Coturnix japonica: one gene and its partners. The protein of the gene in region 4 interacts with the protein of the main gene of each other region in a pairwise test. Links are inferred from orthologs where the notes say so. Each region holds a gene or a part of one and is shown on either strand. Other genes may lie near its edges. The genes, in order: BAG3, STAM2, UBQLN1, FAM189A2 and WWP2.

Region 1 (3,515 bases), on a different chromosome or scaffold from region 4:
AACCCTCCCCGCTCTACATACCTGAGGTCTGTCTACGACCGTCTGTACTGTGATGGGAGTCGAGGGCTGTACCTGCTGGGTGATAATTCTGGCAGGTGAACTCTCACGACTTGATGCCCCTCTCTGAGTGGCTCTGAATGGAGACTGTGCTCGTGCTGTCTTAGGCTCCCTGTCATCTGGTTGAATTCTGGGAAATACAGGTTGGTGGGCTTGGAATTCACTCTGCTGGGCAGGGTAGTGTGTCTTCTGGGCCTGATGGTAGCCTTGCGGTGGTTGCCTTTGGATATTTTCATGGATCACAGGAATTGAAATATAGCCACGGGGAAGCTGATGGCTTCCTGAATTGGATCTGCCAGATGACTGAGGTGGAACCGTTTGAGAATCAGAAGCTCCAGGAGACTGAGGCTGCCATGAAAACAAAATCCATTATTAAATCAGCTGTTTCAGCTCATAGCACTTTTCATTTTCAAAGAGAAATGGAAACTGAATTTGTGTTCCCACATACAAAAGATCTACGTCCTTGGTTTGGGTTTGTGTTGGTTTGTGTTCTATTTTTTTTTGCCTTGCTAGACAAACCACAGAAGTTGTGAGAGAGCATCATTATAACAAGTAATAACCTGAGCTACAGCATTCCCAGCCCTCAAGTAAGCAGGGAGTGGATGCTCACTCAGAATGTTTTCTGTTTTTACATGGCTACTCCTGTCTAAACCTGTTAAATGTGAGGCAAACTAAAGTTAAGCAAACAAATTATGTACTGCAGACAAAAAACAAACTACTCAGAGGCACACAAAGTTCAGACTTCTGATCCCACTCATGCTAACAGATTTATTTACTTCTTTAAGCATGTAATTTAGTGCACTGCCAAAGCCTGCTATGTGTGGCTAATGCCCCTTGACCCCTCACGAGACCTTCCAGCACATCAGCCCTGTTGGCACCAGGAGTGATAGCTGCACTAGTGTAGATTTGCTGTAAGCAGGAGCAAGTGCTGGGGATACACCACAATTCAGCTTCTGGTATTTCAGGTTATGGTTCCACAGCATCTGGGGAAAGGCAGTTTATTTGCTCACAGCTCACTCCTTCTCTACTCCTGCTGTGCCAGTCCATCAACTCACCTACTATGGACTATTCTCTATACTTTAACCCATGAAGGAGAGGAAAAATTATTTCCTGACAGGTTTATTGATATCTCAGTGACAGGCCAGGTAAGACTGGAGTTAGCACAGGAGGGAGAGCAGGACAATGTAGCTGGAAGCAACAAGTAGGCAGGCAAGGTGAGAAAGGATAGGGAACAAGATGTCTTTTGTGCTAGTTAATGCTCACCTCTGCAGCTCAGCAGCTATAAATAAATGCTACTTTTTCTACAGGCACCAGCACTGCTGTGTCAGTGCCCTGGTCAGTTAGTGCCCATGCCACCTAAGTTTGTGATGGCAGCTTCTCCAGTCCTCAGCAGTTATCTCAGAGCACATGAGATGGAGAAGACTTTTCTGAAGCAATTCTGCATGTAATACAAAAGTATATTCCCAGCTGCATTAAGTTGAGAGAAGGAAGAACTAAGCCTCCCATCCTTGCACTTCATGGATAAAGCAGCAACAACTGAGGAAAACTGCGAACAGGATTTTAATTGTCTTGTTCAGACACAAAAACAGGTTTTAGAAAAATATCTGCCACTGCCGACATGAAAAATTCCCCATGTGTTTTCATGCTGATAGAGGCTCGATTTCCTGCTTATTTTACTTGGAACAGAAGTGAGATTAGTGCTTCAGCCTATTACAAGAATACTGCTCCTGCTAATTCTGAGGAGATAACAGACAAACCAAAATCCTGCCTTTTGAAAAGCAAAGCAAGGAGGGTGACTCTTTTTAAAGCAGTTCATGTATTATAACATACTACAAAATAACAACAAAAATATTTCCGAATTCACTTCTAAATCTGTGTATGCAGATCTATACAATTAATAAAACCAGAGTATTAAACTGGAAAGCAGAATAGCCCTGTTTCTGAAACAGCCTAAGCTGTCAGCTAATGGGACACTTGTATTTTGTGTCTCTCCCCTTGCTCACCTGTTTCCCACATAGGGAATGCAAGAGATCTGCCTGCATTCCCAGCTTGCAGAGTAACCACTCTAAACCCTACAACAGCCCTCACCTGCCGCAGGAGCACCTGCACCATTCACAGGCTTTTTTATAGAGAAAATTTTCACAGGCTTGTTTCTGTGCAAATCACTTGATAACAAAAGCTGTCAATGCCGGAAAAATGTGAAACACTTCTGCTGAAGTGACTGAGCACTTTTGTATTTCAACACTGTGGAAGTATTGGGAAAATGTAATCCTGTGGCAGGTTTGGCTTTCCAAAGGATAAAGTACTCGTGTGACAGTCAGGTCATACATGGCCGCAGAGACCAAGGCACACACACCCCAGCAGTACTGCCGAGTTACCTCAGGTCCGTGTGTCGCTGGAGCTGGGGCTGCTGCAGCTGCTGTTGTCTGTCCACATTGTTTATCTGCCTGGGAAGCCTCAGCCGGCCCCCTATGAGGGGACTCAGGGCTGGCATAGGCCCCCCTCAGTGGTGGCTGTGCCTGCGCTGTGGTGGGCACGGCTTCTGCTTTGTACCGCTGTACGCCGGGCTGTGGAGCAGCAAAGTATGGGTGCTGTCTGCTGTCGATGCCCTCGTGGATGACTGGGATGGGGATGTAGCCAGCCCGGAGCTTGGGGTACACCACGTTTCCTTCCCGTGCTGGCATCTGCCTGGGACTATCTTGAGATGGGCCATTTGCTGACGACTGGCCATCCTAGAAATTAAAAACATCACATAGCATTTGTTGGTAGCTCAGCTCAACATACCACGTAAGAAAGCAGCCATAAAGGTCTGTCTAAAAGAAGCGTCAGCCAGGCATGAGAAGCTCAGCTCCTCAGGTCTGTGCAAGGTCAGCAGGCAGGAGAAAGGAAGCTGAACACCAATTAGGTATGAGCCTTTCACCCTCAGTGCTGATAAATGCTAACTGAGGCACTAAAATACCACATTACAACAGGGATTTTCTGTAGCGCTCACTACCTGCATACAGCCATGAGTCCAGCTGCCTCACCTGGTACCATGCTAATTAAATGAGAGCTTCAGGGACCACAGATGTTTCCTTAACACCCCTTCAAATCCACCCAGCGTTATAGATAACAGCAGAAAAGAAACTTAGAAGATTTATCTCATCATAGAGCAGTATTTGTTGGTATTGTGCTTCCTACTGCCTATCTAGAGTTACTGCTGCTTCATTCTGAAGAAGATACTCACAGCCAAGAGAGGATCCACTTCAGCAGATTCCAACAGGATAACATAATGAAGAGGAAAATGCTGGAAGGTTAGATAATATTAATTCCTGTGCTGGCCAACTGCACTCACTGGACAATGTCAAAGCTCTGGCAAGGGGGAAAGTGCTTTGTACCAAGATCCCTCCCAAGTCCTCTATTAAGTTCTTCCTGCATCGGTCATTCTATTTTGAGGCCCAGCTAGGGCCAAGTTCCAG
Region 2 (2,743 bases), on a different chromosome or scaffold from region 4:
TAATAGGGATGTGAGTGAACTTTAATATTAGTGCATTAATCACGAGTGCAGTGCACTTTTGCTAAGTATAAAAACCTTGGTCTGGTTTTAGCTCACGATTTCCTAAGGCGAGGGGCTGGGAAGAGTATTACATTAGTGGGTGTAGTTGCTCAAAATTGACTTACAGTATCTCTAGGGTGCTACATTGGTGTTCTAAGGAAACAAAGATGAGAAGAAAGAGAGATTTTAAAGGTCTTTTTTTTTACAGGAAGCATAGAGTGAGTGGTTTTACTTCTAGTGAATTTTATTTAATGTTAATTGTTCCCTAGGAAAAGAATAGTTGCTATAGCAACTGCTAGATCTGAAAATGTCAGTTTGAAGTAATTCTGTATCCTTAACTTCTGGTTATGGTGGAAAATATCATTGTATTTGGAGGTTAAAAAGTAACTGAAGCCAAAAGGCAACAGGAGTTTACTTGTTCTTTCAAAGGGAATGCGCCCAGCAGTGAAACACAGAAGATAATGGTATTTGTGCTGGGCCTAGTATTGACTCAAGTGTCTGTTCCTTTGGTGTCGATACGCAGCCATACTGAGTCCAGAAGCAGTGGGCAGTGTAGCCTTGTGTTAGCAGGTTCTACCGCTCGTTTGATCAGATTTGAGTAAAGACTTAACTTAAACTAGAAATATGAGAAAGCGAAGTTTTTGCTTTCCTTCTCTTGTAATCTGGGACTATTTGTACATTTTGCTATTTTATACATTTTGGGGAATCAAATTTTGTATGGTGCTCATCTTCCTGCTCAAAATATGCTGAGGACTGAAAGACAAGGCAAACTGGTGGAAAAGAAATAAGGTTTCTGGGAGGTGGAAGAGTGGTGTTAATGAGCAAAAGGGTTGTTCTCAGATAAATGACCACAGACCTTGTTAGCAGTGCGTTTTTGAAAGAGATGCCTGGTGATGGAAGAAAGGATGTCTGTTAGAAACCCATACGTGTGTTAGGAGAAGTTGTGTGTTTTATTGTTAGACCCGAGGTAGGAAAATAAATTCAGAATCAGTTTGTTCAGACTTTGAACCCTAAAGTATTTATTCATTGCAGTTGTATTCTGTGCTACATTTACTGCTACTTAAATAAGTTATATCTTTATTATTATTATTATTTAGCCGTATCCTGTACAGCCACCTAGTGGGAACTACATGATCCAAGGTGTTCACCAGGTCACCGTTTCTCAAGGTTATGGCCTAGGACCTGACCAGATGGGGCAGCTCAGGTCTCTGCCTCAAAATATCAATTCGTCTGGAGCAACTCAGCCTGTACAAACTGCTTATTTAAGGTATCAGTCATTTCAGCGAACTCTTACGTTACCCTTTGCATAGAATTGCACAATGGGTTGGGCTGGAAGGAGCTGCATAGACCATCCACTTCCAATCCGCAGCCATGGGCAGGGGTAACTGTCACCAGGCCATGATGCCCAGAGCTCTGTGCATGTGCAACACCTCCAGAGATGGAGCTGGGCAGCAGTGCCACAGCCTCACCACCCTCCTAGAGGCTGCAGCTCTGGGGTGTTTACAGTGATGTGTAAGTCTGAAAACATTCGTACAGCTAAGAAAAAATTCTTATCGGAGAACCAGTTTTGTGAGCTTGTAACAGTTGGATTTGCTTTGTTTTGTTACAGCCCAGGACCAGACTCTGTGTTAAACCAGACGTTCGTGACCCAGAGCCCCGGCCTTCCTGCAGCTGCCAGCACAGCAGTGTACAGCCAGCAGCAAATGGGCTCAGTGGATATGGCTGCTTACCAGAGTAACACGTCAAGTTTGCCTCAAGGACCGGGTTATCCCATGGCAGTTCCTGCTCATTCCGTTCTACAGCAACAAACCAACTACCACCAACAGCCTCTCCTTTAAAAACAGACCAGGCTTGTTTCCAAAATAATGAAGAGTGATTGCTGAATCTAATGGTTTTTATTAATACCTGTCACAGATATCAAAATACATTTTCTTTAAAATAACCCAACTTAGGGGTGATGCTGAGTAGCAGTATGCATCGGATCTGATTGTTAATCATTTCCTTAATGATAGTTTGAACAAGATGAGCCGATGATTTAAAATAATTTCACATTGCTTTGAGCCCTTGTTTCAGTGGTTTCAATGAAAGAAAAGCCATTTGTGTGTCTGAATTCAAGTAAAAACATGTCCAAAATTAATTTTATGTGTTTCTAGAAACGCGAGGATGCATAGTGATGCATAGTCACTGTTATGTGTTGCTCTCGTTACGCATCGTCTCCTCTGGTGTCTCGCTGTAATCTTTCCATCCAAGTAGCTTTAAAGAGCTTCTGCTGATTTAGACACCTCCTCTCCGTGCTGCCATAGTGAGCTTTACAGTATGGTGTGTGCTGCATAATTGGAACAGCTGCACAAGTGAAGCAGATGAGAGCTGGAAGAGAAAATGATTTGATACTGTGACAGAGAACCGCGTACTTACAGATATAGGAGAAATGACGTTTTTATAGCACTGCCTGTTGGATTTTGGGAAACTGCAGCTCCTGATGTGTTTCTCTTGAAAGAAACTGGGAATGGGGCAGTTGATGCTTGAGCTCTCTTGTGGCTTTGGGCGCAGGTGGGACAGCAAGCACATGATGCCTTTGCACAAGCACGCAAGGGATGCTCCCAGCGGCCTGTGTGGGTACTCTGGATACACGGTGCTGAGCCAGAAACTTGCACAGAATATCTATTCTTTTCCTTTTTTGTTGTTGTTGTATGTAGAAGTGAAG
Region 3 (3,515 bases), about 5.0 Mb from region 4:
AAAAGCTGGTCTTCTTCCCACTTAAAAGTTCCCTTTAAGTACTGGAAGGACACAATCTCATCTTCCTGAAGCCTTCTTTTCTGTAGAGTGAAAAAGTTCAACTTCCTCAGCCTTTCTTTGTAGAAAAGGTACTCCACCGCTCCGACCATGAGGGATAACAGACTTTCTTACCCAAGCCAAAAGGATTACTATTTGTTGAAGTTGATGTTGAGGTACTACTGCTTGATGCTGATGTGGTATCAGCACTCCCACTGGTGTGTGTTTGCTGAGCTTGGTGGTCTTGTGATCTAAAAACCAAAAAGACAGTTTCAAAGTTACAAATGTAGCAAATCAATTTAACTAATTTCATTAAACATATCATGGGTGTCATACTTGGGAAACTTAGTTTTTCATTTTATTACTCATTTTATAATTTTTCAGAATTGCATCTCTCTGGATAGCTTCCTGTAGTAAGTCTCTCAGACATCTGTAACATCATCTGTTTTTCAGAAGTTTCAACCGTTACAAAAATGGATGGGCATCACTGCAGCCACTACCACCTCCTCATACAACCCCAGAGATACCTGACAGTGCATTGCTTTCTGAGTCTTTACCTTGCTTCAGGGATTCTTTGCCTTACCCAACCTTATTTGACAGCCATTAGACAATAGTGATTATATGCTTGAGTCTTGAAGAAATGAAGTCACATAAAATCTAACATATCCCATAAAGGATTCAGTAAGGATGGCTTACTCAATGTGAAATTCTATTATGGTCTTATTACAAGACAAGCACCAGAATTTCAGTAATCTTCATAACTAAGAATGGAGTAAAATCAGCTGCCTAATTCACATGCTCACTACACTTGTCTCTAGTAGAGGCAATGGTATTGGTGCTGACGTATGGTGTAAGAGATCAAAGAACTCAGCTGATTCAAAGCTAACCTAGCCTCTACTCAATGATGCAAGATTTAAGCCCAGCTCACTTGCTAAAGCTGGTTCATTAAACAATCACATAAATATCTGCATTTGAAAAATTACAGAATTAGTGTAAGATAATTTGTAGAATCTATGCATGCAGACCTTCCACAAAGACTTGAAGGTTAGACGATAATGCTAAATTCTACAGATCAGTTCATCTCAGTAACGTTTTTCTGTACTTGCTTCAATAACTCACAGTCAAAACAAAAACAAACAAACAAAAAAAACCAACAACCCATACAAGTCAGACAGATGTCTTTAGTACAGAGGCTTCCCTGAAGTATCTAAGAGTGCTCTGTTGCTAAAATCAAAAGCCAAACCAACAATGAAATGCTTTGCAGATTTTGCAAGTTCTTCCATCAACTCATCAGTATTACCTTATAAAAGGTTCCATCAACACCCCTGAAAACAGTAGCATGTTGAGTCATGAACACTGAGGGTACAACAGGACTTCGCAACTTCATTACAATTGCTACTGATGTTCCACTGTAGTGAAGGAGACGTTAATTTTTGTCCTAACACTTCAGTCCATAATGATTCATATAATTCAGTTTTGCTTATTTTTATTTGTACTCTAATAAGAGAATTCCAAGTCTACAAAAGCACTCACAGAAACTATTGAAGGAAAACTTGTTCTAGAGGGAAGATCCCAGATATACACTAACAACCCCAGAAAGGTGTACTTGGGCTTGTAATATGGCTTCCTGAAAGAAGGCAGTGGGTAATACTCTGGGTTCCTGAGAACAATGTTGCAGACTATTTGTGCTTAAGAGCAACTGACAACTTTGAACACCAAGACCAGTACAATCACAGCTGCATACAATGGCTTAGGCTGGAAGGGACCTTAAATATGATCTAGTTTCCAACTTCCCTGTCATGGACAAGGCTGCTACCCACTAGATCAGGCTGCCCAGGCCCATCCAATCTGACCCTGAATGCCTCCAGGGGTGGGACATCCTCAGCTTCTTTGGGCAACTACAGCCTCACCATCCTCTGAATAAAGCATTTCCTCCTATCATCTAATCAAAACTATCCCCTCTTTTACTTTAAAAATCAATCCTATTTGTCCTGTCACTATCAGACCATGTAATCAGTGCAACAAGCCAAGCAGCTGTCACAAAGATCATAGACTGCAAAGGCACTTATACTTAATATAAACTTCCTAATGAAGACATTTGGGGTTTTTTAGCCTAAGAAAATACACAAATATTTTCTTTGTAAGAAAAAAGCATAATATAAGCATAAATCTTTACTTGGTTCTTCAGCTATTCTGAAGAACCTGAGCTATTCTCAGTTGGTGGGTCTCAAAGTAAAACAGAAAACAGGACATGCCTGTAAAGCATTTCAACATGTTTCTATTTGGAAACGGAGGTATATAAACACACTGGTTATATCTCAAGTCTTTCAGCTTCAAGCCTTTTAGTGAAAATGCAAGTCTATGTTTTAAGTCTACTTTACCATGATGGCCCCTTATCAGCTTGCAAGCACCTAAAACAGTGCTTACATGAACCTTCATTTTCAGAAATTCATTATATCTTCACTATCTACTGCTAACAACTGCTACTTTGAAACTCTACTAGCCACATTAAGCCAGCCAGCGTAAACTGCATTACACTGTGGGAGACTGGGATAAGATGTGATAGAATATGATGTGGACAGAAATGCTGAGAGAATTCATGCAGGGACATCAAGACTTCTTGAAGGCAAAAAAACAAAAACAAAACAACCTTGTAAAAACAACGTGACATTGCACCTAGAATTGGTCAGAGGCAAAGCGTGAGAAGGTACAAGAGACTGACTAGCACTGCTATTTCAGTACTTTGATTTAGTACTTACAACTACTGTTAAGTCCAATTTATGAATACACAGAGGAATGTGCAAGTCAAAGATATATTATCACTACTACCATGGTTTATGAAACTTCCCTATCGCACTCAAGAGACTAAATTAAAAAGAGAAGAAGTCATAGCAACAGCAGAGTACTGTTCAGAAACATGGAGAATATTACAGTACTAGATTATACTGCATACAATATCACTATTGCTTATCAGGCCTACATTTCAACAGGTGCTTGAAAGTCAGGATAATGCTAGTGAGGCCTAAGAGGGGGAAGCGTATTTCTTTTTTCTTCTTACTGCTTTCATGCTGTTTCCCTCCAACATCTGACCTTCTCCCACAGAAGATCCTTGACACAAACAGGACAGACATAAGAATAGGAAGAATGCTTTCAGACTAGAACAAACATGTTATTGACTATATAATCTAGATACAAATGAGGTATACCTTACCCTAGTTGACAAAAATGATTTTCAGTCAGCTGTTCCTTCAGGACACTTCACAAGTAATTTGTAGATTTATGCATCTTTCTCACTGTCGTTTAGAAGCAGCCTCATCAAAATATCTCAAAAAAAGTCTTTCTGCTCAGGCAAACAAGTTGGTTGCACTAGAGTAGTTCTCCTTCAAGGACTTTCCTTCCTTTCTCTCTCTCCAAAACAGAAATGTTTCTCCCCTATTTTTTTCTTTTTTAATGTCCCAAAAGTAATACTGCTCAACAGA
Region 4 (4,197 bases):
ACACCTCACATGACCCAAACACACACTGCAAAGAGACAAAACAACTGCTTTCCCTGGAGAAAGTACTTCAGAAGTTATAGTATAGTGAAAACAAAACCAGCAAAACCAACAAAACCCACCTTCAAATGCTTTCATGCAAATCCCATTACTGAGACTTCCGAGAGCTACCCGGCTTCAGATTTCACTTACAAGCAGAAACAGCTTACACACCCTTGCACATTGATTTTCTCCTCTCAGAACAATGTAATGTCAACTGTATTTGAATCACTAACTCTGGATACTGTAGAACAGCAGTGCTTAGCTTAGCTCAGCCTGCCATCAAACACTTGCACAGGTCAAACGAGCACAGCTTTCAAACCAGCTGCCTCTAAGGTTTAGCAGCACTGTCTCAGAGAGATGAATTATCCATATTAAACCAGTATTCTCCTATACCTACACAGAAAGCGTTCTGTGAACACCAGCACATTCTCCAGGCATGATGCTCTCCTGCTCTTATCAGTCTCCTAGAAGAACTCCAGGATGTTTGAAGAACTCAGCCTTCCATGGCATCTGACTTCTTCAACAATTACAGCTCTGCAGACTACAAAATAGACTCAACAGTACGGTCTGTTTTTTTTTTTCAAGGAGAAAGAAGCAGAGCTGTTTAACATGACTGCTGATAACCTGATAATTCCTGCACATCTGCTGAAAATTCTCTCACAACAAGTTTTAATCCATACTCACCAGCAGTATCATGGGCCTCTTCCACGTTGTCAGCCCTATGATTCCAGATAAAATTACCTGTAACATTAAGAAAACAGCATTACCAAGAAGGGAACTACTGTTCAGAAAATGCCATTTACACAGTATTTGCCACTGCTCTGATGGGAAGTATTTTGGAGTGTGAGAGCAGTGCTGAGATGACATGGGGGACACTCTACAGCAGAAACTCAGAGCCTGTGTTGATGAGGTTCTTCACCCCGAAGAGCACCTCAAGGGAAAACACAACTGGAACTGAAATTTTTATCTACTGTTTTGCTTCCTCACATAAAATGTCCAGAAAGTCACGCCAGCAATTCCCACCCCCATCAACTGCCAAAAAAAAAGTTACTTCCAACCTAGGACATGCTTTTCCTGCTACTCAGCCAGCATAGCAGCATGCGTGTAAGGAAAAAGCAAGCAGAAGCATCCCCTCTGCAGCAGGGGCTGCTAATCAGACCTGCTGAACCACGAGCTGTCCCCACAACTTCATCTGAGGACAAAACAGTTAAGGAAGGAGAAAGCACTGCTGCAGAACCGAAGCAAACCACACACCCAGATACTCCTCACTGGATGAATGAGAACCAAAAGGAAAGGCAAACTCATTTCTCAGCTGGTCCTGGGTGCAAGCAGGAACTATCTTTAGTTCGGGGGCCTTTGTGACTAGGCCAGTTCAGACTGCACTCCCACCCCAAAGCCAAGCAGGGACACAAAGGGGAAGCTGCCCACTATCATTTTTATCAAATCCCTTCAGCCGCTTCATTAACCTGACATGACTGATCTGACCTAGCATAACAGGCATACATGACTTGGCCAAAACACCTCCTGGTATCACCACTGCTGTTGCAAAAGCACATACATAATGCTGCAGTTTCATAACAAACATTTTACAATTCTCTGAGCACAAAATAGACACGTGCTTTTATAAAAAAGCACACCAATGCATATAGGAATGGGGTGGCATCCTTAGGGATGCCAACACTGGTTTCATTATGATTAAGATTTAAGGTATATGGAAGAAATGCCTCCCTCAAGAGTGCCTTTCATGAGTGCATCCCAAGAAGGGTGCTGTGCCTAAGATGAGAGAAAGGCACATACTGAATGACAGCTGCCCCAGCATCCCACACTGCTTCTGGACGAGACGTTTCACTCATGCAGCTACGCTCAGAAGACACTTCAGGTAATTTTTTAAGACTGAATATGTCATTGTTTCAGAACTAGTGTGAAAAAAGGTCTTTGTTATTATTATTATTATTATTAAGGTAACTGGGCATTTCCAGGTTACACGTGCAGCTTCAGAACATTTTGTTAGTATAAGCATGGTTCTGTGCACAGGGTTAAAAGAAAGCCCGTGGCTGCCGAGATCTAAATAAACTCTCTTTGACTTGGAACGAGAAAGAAGAAGGCGAAAGAAAGCCAAAGGTAAGACAGAAACGTCAGTGCAGACACCACGCCGCCATCCGCGCGGCTCGGGCTGCAGCCCGGTTAAGGCACGGTACGCGCTCCGGACGGGCCGCCCGGCACCGAGCGCGGCGCTCCGGGCTGAGCCGAGGCCCGGGCCTTGTCCCGCCGCTCGGACGGCGGCTGCTGTCAGAACGCAACAGGAGGGAAGTACCGGCGCTCCTCGGAGCCGCCAGCAGCGAGCACGCCCCGCGCACGAGTCCCATCCCGCCACCCGCTGCCGGGGACGTACCGAGGAGCCGGCCCAGAAGGGACACGCGTTCTTCACCTCCTGGGCGCCGCTCAGCGACAGCGCCCCGAAGCTGAGCGCCACCATGCAGCAGCCCAGCACCAGCTGCAGCAGCCCCAGCGACAGCAGCGGCCGCGACGGCAGCAGCCCGGCGCCCGAGGCGCGGCGGGAGGACGAGAAGCTGGCGGCGGGGAGCGGCCGCGGGCAGCCGGCGCGGCGGGACCGGAGCGGCGGCAGCGAGGGCTCGGCGGGCAACGAGCCCGGCGGCCGCATGGCGGTGCCGGCGGCCGGCGACCCGGCGGAGAGCCCCGGCACGGGGCAGCAGGAGCCCGGCAGCACCGCCGGCAGCGACATCGGGGCACCCGCCGGCCGGGCCGCGCCTGCCCTCCGCCGCCCCTGTGCCAGCCCACCCGGGCGCCGACTTCCTGTGGCTCTGCCCTCCCCGCCCCGCCCGGGAGGTGCCGCCGGGGACGGGCCGTGCCGCGGATCCGCCGCTCCCCGCCTCGCTGCGGGGGACGGCACCCGGCGCCCCCCGGCCTCGCCCCGCCGCGCCCCGCCCGTCGGCCTTGGCCATCGCGGTGCTCCGGCTGCCCCCGACCCGCCGCCCTCCCCCGGCACCGCGCCCCTTCTCCTGTGGTTGCTGCCGTGCCGCGGTTGTCCCGAGTTCTAAAATAAGTGCTCCGGAGGAGGCGCGAAGCCGCCGGGTTGCCTTACACGGCGCTGGCGGGCGGCCCGGCCCGAGGGGAACGAGCTGCTCTGTAAGCAGGGGGTGCCGAGGGGCGGTGGGTCCGCCTTGTCCTCTCCTGCTGGGGTAAAAAGGGCTGCTGCGATGGGGCTCCTGTGCTTGTTGAAATGCTCCAGGAAAGGAAGATCGGGAATCAGCGATCAGCGCCCAGCTTCTGATCAGCGTGTGTGGCTTCGTATCTGCTAGGCTGGTCTGGACAGGAACTCAAAGCACATCTCAGATAGAAAAAGAATCCAGCTTTTAGAACTGTAGGAAAATAAGCTGTGTTAAAGGCGTTACTGTCTTCACTGGACACGTGCCACATGCGTTGTAGCAGTGCGTAAGCTTTGATTCAAAGCAAGGAGAACCTTTGGTGTTACAGGTAGTGCTTTCGAATTGAACACTTTGTGCATTTCTGCTGACTTGCTATTCAGGATTTATAGGACTCCTTACCCAGAAGCATCTCTTGCCAGCCAGAGCCGTCCTCTTGCAATAAAGACACCTCAGAACAATCTGTGTGCCAGGGTTTATGGGCCACCGGCCAGAGCAGCAGTATTTAATGCCCCAGTGGTTAGCGGGCTGCCCAAATGCTGCTGCCATCTGTGCTGCATGACTGTGCCCCATAACTCAACTCATTGATTAGTAAACATGCAACTTCAGCCTTTTCTGTGAGGCTATTGTAAAACTGATTTGCTGCTCGCTTCATGGCTGTAAGATTTTGCCTTTCATGTGGTTAAAATAGATTTACAGACACTGTAAATATATTCCTGAAAGACACCAGGCCCCTGCAAAATGCTGTGCCCATGCATTTCTGGGCTGCAGTGCAGATGTCCCAATGTTACATGACAAACACACAAAACAGAGCCAAAGTCAGAGGGTGCTGCATCAGAAGTCAGGTTGCAGCCCTATCTGTCTGCCATCTTGCTTAGAAAAAATAAAAGCGGGATTTCTGCACTTCATCTGGTGGATGGAATCTTCTATGATGTCCCAAGCCTTGCCATTCTCCTACACTTTCTTTGAGCATACTTTCTTTTTGCGTTTCCTA
Region 5 (4,220 bases), on a different chromosome or scaffold from region 4:
CAGGATGAGGATCTCATTCCACAGCAGCTCAGAGCTCCCCATCTGCTTTCCCGTCTTCTTGGTCTCGCTGGGCAGCCCATCGCCCGCCACCTCCACGTAGCAGTTCATCCGTGACTGGCGGCTGTGGGCCTTGGGCTTCACGGACACCACTGAGTGGGACAGGCAGGGGTCAAGCAGCAGCCCCACAGCCACAGCCCCTGCCCGAGGACACTGCCTCACACTTACACACCCCATCTCTGCCACCAATGCTCTGGGAAGGGGACAGCACTGGGCTGAGACAGCCCCGCTCATGCTTCACCCACTCCCATTTCACCCCACAGACACCTACCATCCCTGTTCAGCTGCTCCCAGCCCCAGGAGCCTGATGAGAAAGCCCGTGCTCTATGACAAGCCAGGGACACAGGGGTTCTGCAGGAGCCAAGGGAAGGAGGCAGTTGGCCAGGGAGAATTGCCACTCTCTAGATGGCCATGCCTGGACCAGAGGGCTGTGGGCAGTGCTGGGACACAGCTCCGAGCATCTGGAGCCATCTCGTGGCCACTGCAGGACAAACACCGCCCTGGCAGAGCCACGGAGCCACATCCCAGCAGAGGAGGCAGAGCCCCCCACAGGCAGCGCTCTGCTTCCAGAGGCCACCAGCACCAAGGCCTGGTAAAGGCTGCATGCACCACAGAGCCTGGAACACGGCCCCTCCCCACCAAGGAACCCCAAGGTCCCCCACCTGGGTGCACCCAAAGCCCAGCTCCCAGCCCTGCACAGGACTCACCTTTCACAGAGAGCTGGGACTTCTCACAGGGCAGCCCTGCCCTGGCCCTGCTGGAGCTTGCAGAGGCCATGTCATCACCCCCGGCCTGGAAGGGAGAGAGAGAGATGGGGACTCAGCACCGACGCTGAGTTGGGGCCCAAAGATATCCTGTGTCCAGCACTGCACACAGCAGAAAGAGCACACAGCCATAAGAGCACACAGCCATAAGAGCACACAGCCATAAGAGCACACAGCCACTTGGGGCAGCAGCCTGCAGGCAGCCTTGTGAGCAACTCCACCTCACCCCAACCCCGAGGCTGCTGCTGACTCTGGCCATGGGGACAGAGCAACCTCCAGTGCTGCCGAACACCAAACGAAAACCAAAGTCTGCAGGTGAGGGCACAGTATGGTACGTGAGATCCCTTGGAAAGGATGAGACAGCAGCACCATGAGCTGGGTCTGCTCACAGCACAGCAGAGCTGCATGTCCCTCAAGGACAGCCCAAGTGGCTGCCAGGCAGCAAAACACCATGGAAAAATTGGTCCTCCCTACTCCAACACACTGCGGAGCTGCAGCTCAGCACGGAGGGGAATTGCAGACTCTCCAACCTCAGGGCCGGACCCCAGCACGGCCTGCACCTTCCCAGCACTCACCACTTCCTTTTGCTGGGGCACTGCATCGCTGACAGCAGCCACAGCACTTCCCTCTCCCCCATCTGCCACAGCTTTCCCCTGGAGCTCCCCACGTGGCAGAGGCTGCAGGTTTCCTACTGAAATGCCTGACCATAAAGGAAAACCCCATGGTCAGGGATCACGCAGGAGCACGAGGTGCTCAGTCTGACACCAGCAGTCAGCTATGGTACCACACTGCTCTCACGGGGCCCTCCTCAACCCCTGCCAACTCCTTTTAAACCCCTCCTGACACCAGCCTGGCACAAGGCTGAGCCTGGAGGCCTCACACAGCCTCCCTGGGAATGCACTGCTGGGGTACGAGAGGTGAGCAGGGGATGGCAAGGAGCCCCTCCATCCTCTCTGGCAGCTGGGAGCCAGCTACAGGCTGTGGTCATGTCCAAGACTGACTGTGATACTATTACAAGTTATTCCAACTCCATTACTCCGGCCCACAGATCACCCCCCAGGATACTGCTGGCTGATTCCACACCATCACTTACTTCATTACAAACACTATCCAGGCCCACGGAACGAGGTGGCCTGACACCGAGCCCTGAGCAGGATGGGGCAGTGAGCACTGAGCTCCTCCCGGGGGCACTTGTTGCTCCACCAACAGCCCCACAGCACAGACCCACCTCACCGGGACCTGGGGCTCCGCGCTGCTCCGTCAGATTCAGGCACCACCCGCAGCCCCGCAGTGCACAGTCACAGCGCAGCCCAGGCTTTGCCACGGGAGCCGACCCGGCTCGGACTCATCGCTCACCAAACTCGTTCGTTCCAACCCGTCACCGCACACACGGAGCCTCGTCCTCTCCCGCTGTGTCCCGTGGAGCCGCAGCGTCACCCGCCCGAGAGCGGCCACCGCGACCCGCACTGCGGGACACCGGGCAGCGCCCGGCACGGGACAGCGGGGACAGCCAGGACACCGGGACATCAGGACACCGGGACATCAGGACACCGGGACATCAGGACACCGGCACAGCCGTGGCGCAGCGCTGCACCGCGCTGAGCTTCAGAGCTGCGCCCAAAACCGGGAACCGGGACCGAACCGGCACCGCGCGGTGTGAGGCAGCGCCCGGAGCCCGGTACCTGGTGCCGCCCCTCAGCCCCCACAGCCGGTGCCACGGGCCGCCCCGCCGGGCTTCCCCTCTGTTGGCCGGCAGCCGCTGCCGGTAAAGCGGAGCGGAGCAGCTGCCCGCAGCCCGACCGTTACACCGTTACACCCCATCACACCCCGTTACACCGTTACACCGTCACATCACACCCCGTTACACCCCGTTACACCCCGTTACACCCCGTTACACCGTCTCCCCTCCCGCTCTCACCGCTCCTCCGCTCTCCCGCTTCCGGTTGCAGCTCCGCCGTCATGTGACCCCGCGCGCACCTGACCGCGCCGCCCGGAAGTTGCCCCGCGCCGCCCTCCCGTCAGCCCCCGCGCGGCGCAGAGGGACGCAGCCAACATGGCGGACATGGGCCGCGTGCCGCACGTGGTGGCCGATACCGGCGCGTTCCTGAGCGGTGCCGCGCTGCAGGTACGGACCGAGAGCGGCCGGATGGGGCGGGTCCGGAACGGGGTCGGGGCTGGGGGCCGCTCCGGGCACGGGCTGAGCCTTGTTCCGCCCGCAGGACGTGGCGCGCAGCGTGTACACCGTGCCCGAGGTGCTGGCCGAGATCCGGGACCGGCGGGCGCGGCGCCGCCTGGCAGCGCTGCCCTACGAACTGCAGCTCCGCCGACCGAGGGCTGAGTATGTGCGGAACGGTGAGTGACGGGGGGCGGGTATAATGGGTAACGGATAACGGGTAACGGATAATGGGGGTAACGGCCTCTTCCGCCCCGTCCCGCAGTCACCGAGTTCGCCAAGCGCACCGGGGACTTCCCCAGCCTGTCGGCCGCCGACCTGCAGGTGCTGGCGCTCACCTGCCAGATGCAGGACGAGATCACAGGGCCGGGCAGCGTCCGCCTGCAGCCCCCGGACAAGGTAACGGGGGATGGGATGGGATGGGATGGGGCTGGGCTGGGCTGCGGGCGCTGCTGATCCCGGCGCTGCCCACAGGTGCAGCTCAGCTCCAGCCCGTGTCACCCCGAGGCCACGCTGCACATCGCCGGCTTCCACCTGCCCACCAAGGTACAGGGGGTGATGGGGACAAAGGGGGGTGAGGGGTGAGAGGAGCGGGGATGTGGAGCCCGGGGCTGCTGTGTCTCCCCCAGCACAAACGCCCGCGGAAGAGCCAGCAGCAGCACGGCCACGACAGCAGCACGGAGCTGCCTGACAGTGCTGAGTTCAGCTCCTTCCTCTACTGGAGGCTGCCCCTGCCCGACATCGAGGACGAGCTCCAGGAGATGCTGGTGAGGCTGCTGTGCTCACTGCCCCACATCCCAGCTTATTGGCATACACGGCACCAACTGCCCATCTCTGCAGAAAACACACAGCACCTCCAGCAGCCCGGCAGCCACCGACGAGTGTCAGAGCTCAGAGGATGGGGATGGTGCCGAGGAGGAAGAGGATGAGGATGAAGGGAGCGATGATGACGAGGGCTGGATAACGCCAAGCAACCTCAAGCAGGTCCAGCAGGACACGGGGCACTGCGACACCGTGCCTGCCAACGTGCAGGTCGGCTGTGTCACCACAGACTTCTCCATGCAGGTGAGTGCTGCCTCACATGGCCCTGTCTCCAGCACACAGCTCGGTTGATCCCACACACGTACCATACAAAAGTCAACCTGCGATGCTTTCTTTTGTGTTCAAAGCTGTCAGTTCTCCCCACAGCAGCAGCTGTACCACAGCAGCGCCTACCCAGAGCCCAT

What was found.
Region 1: the proteins of FAM189A2 (region 4) and BAG3 interact in a two-hybrid assay, tested with the Homo sapiens proteins (2 studies listed by BioGRID and IntAct). The link is inferred for Coturnix japonica from reciprocal best matches to the Homo sapiens genes ENTREP1 and BAG3.
Region 2: the proteins of FAM189A2 (region 4) and STAM2 interact in a two-hybrid assay, tested with the Homo sapiens proteins (2 studies listed by BioGRID and IntAct). The two-hybrid records come from large-scale screens. The link is inferred for Coturnix japonica from reciprocal best matches to the Homo sapiens genes ENTREP1 and STAM2.
Region 3: the proteins of FAM189A2 (region 4) and UBQLN1 interact in a two-hybrid assay, tested with the Homo sapiens proteins (2 studies listed by BioGRID and IntAct). The link is inferred for Coturnix japonica from reciprocal best matches to the Homo sapiens genes ENTREP1 and UBQLN1.
Region 5: the proteins of FAM189A2 (region 4) and WWP2 interact in binary tests that used the Homo sapiens proteins (3 or more experiments, as listed by UniProt). The link is inferred for Coturnix japonica from reciprocal best matches to the Homo sapiens genes ENTREP1 and WWP2.

Annotation. Positions count from the first base shown.
Region 1 is NC_029521.1:27,000,251-27,003,765, reverse strand, and holds part of BAG3 (BAG family molecular chaperone regulator 3), read right to left. Parts: intron 2,790-3,515; coding exon 2,436-2,789; intron 406-2,435; coding exon 22-405; intron 1-21. UniProt on the Homo sapiens protein: Co-chaperone and adapter protein that connects different classes of molecular chaperones including heat shock proteins 70 (HSP70s), e.g. HSPA1A/HSP70 or HSPA8/HSC70, and small heat shock proteins (sHSPs), e.g. HSPB8.
Region 2 is NC_029522.1:30,567,901-30,570,643, forward strand, and holds part of STAM2 (signal transducing adapter molecule 2), read left to right. Parts: intron 1-1,136; coding exon 1,137-1,306; intron 1,307-1,648; coding exon 1,649-1,877; 3' UTR 1,878-2,743.
Region 3 is NC_029547.1:36,145,648-36,149,162, forward strand, and holds part of UBQLN1 (ubiquilin-1), read right to left. Parts: intron 288-3,515; coding exon 172-287; intron 1-171. UniProt on the Homo sapiens protein: Plays an important role in the regulation of different protein degradation mechanisms and pathways including ubiquitin-proteasome system (UPS), autophagy and endoplasmic reticulum-associated protein degradation (ERAD) pathway.
Region 4 is NC_029547.1:31,114,303-31,118,499, reverse strand, and holds the start of FAM189A2 (protein FAM189A2), read right to left. Parts: upstream 2,816-4,197; 5' UTR 2,783-2,815; coding exon 2,432-2,782; intron 781-2,431; coding exon 724-780; intron 1-723. UniProt on the Homo sapiens protein: Functions as an activator of the E3 ubiquitin protein ligase ITCH in the ubiquitination of the CXCL12-activated CXCR4 receptor. Thereby, triggers CXCR4 endocytosis and desensitization, negatively regulating the CXCL12/CXCR4 signaling pathway.
Region 5 is NC_029526.1:16,981,976-16,986,195, reverse strand, and holds the start of WWP2 (NEDD4-like E3 ubiquitin-protein ligase WWP2), read right to left. Parts: upstream 2,812-4,220; 5' UTR 2,783-2,811; coding exon of another isoform or gene 2,740-2,782; intron 851-2,739; exon of another isoform or gene 850-850; 5' UTR 835-849; coding exon 765-834; intron 409-764; exon of another isoform or gene 329-408; intron 150-328; coding exon 2-149; intron 1-1. Other genes in the region: RNA-binding protein NOB1, read left to right, coding at 2,875-2,946, 3,041-3,173, 3,260-3,393, 3,469-3,540, 3,624-3,761, 3,835-4,059. UniProt on the Homo sapiens protein: E3 ubiquitin-protein ligase which accepts ubiquitin from an E2 ubiquitin-conjugating enzyme in the form of a thioester and then directly transfers the ubiquitin to targeted substrates.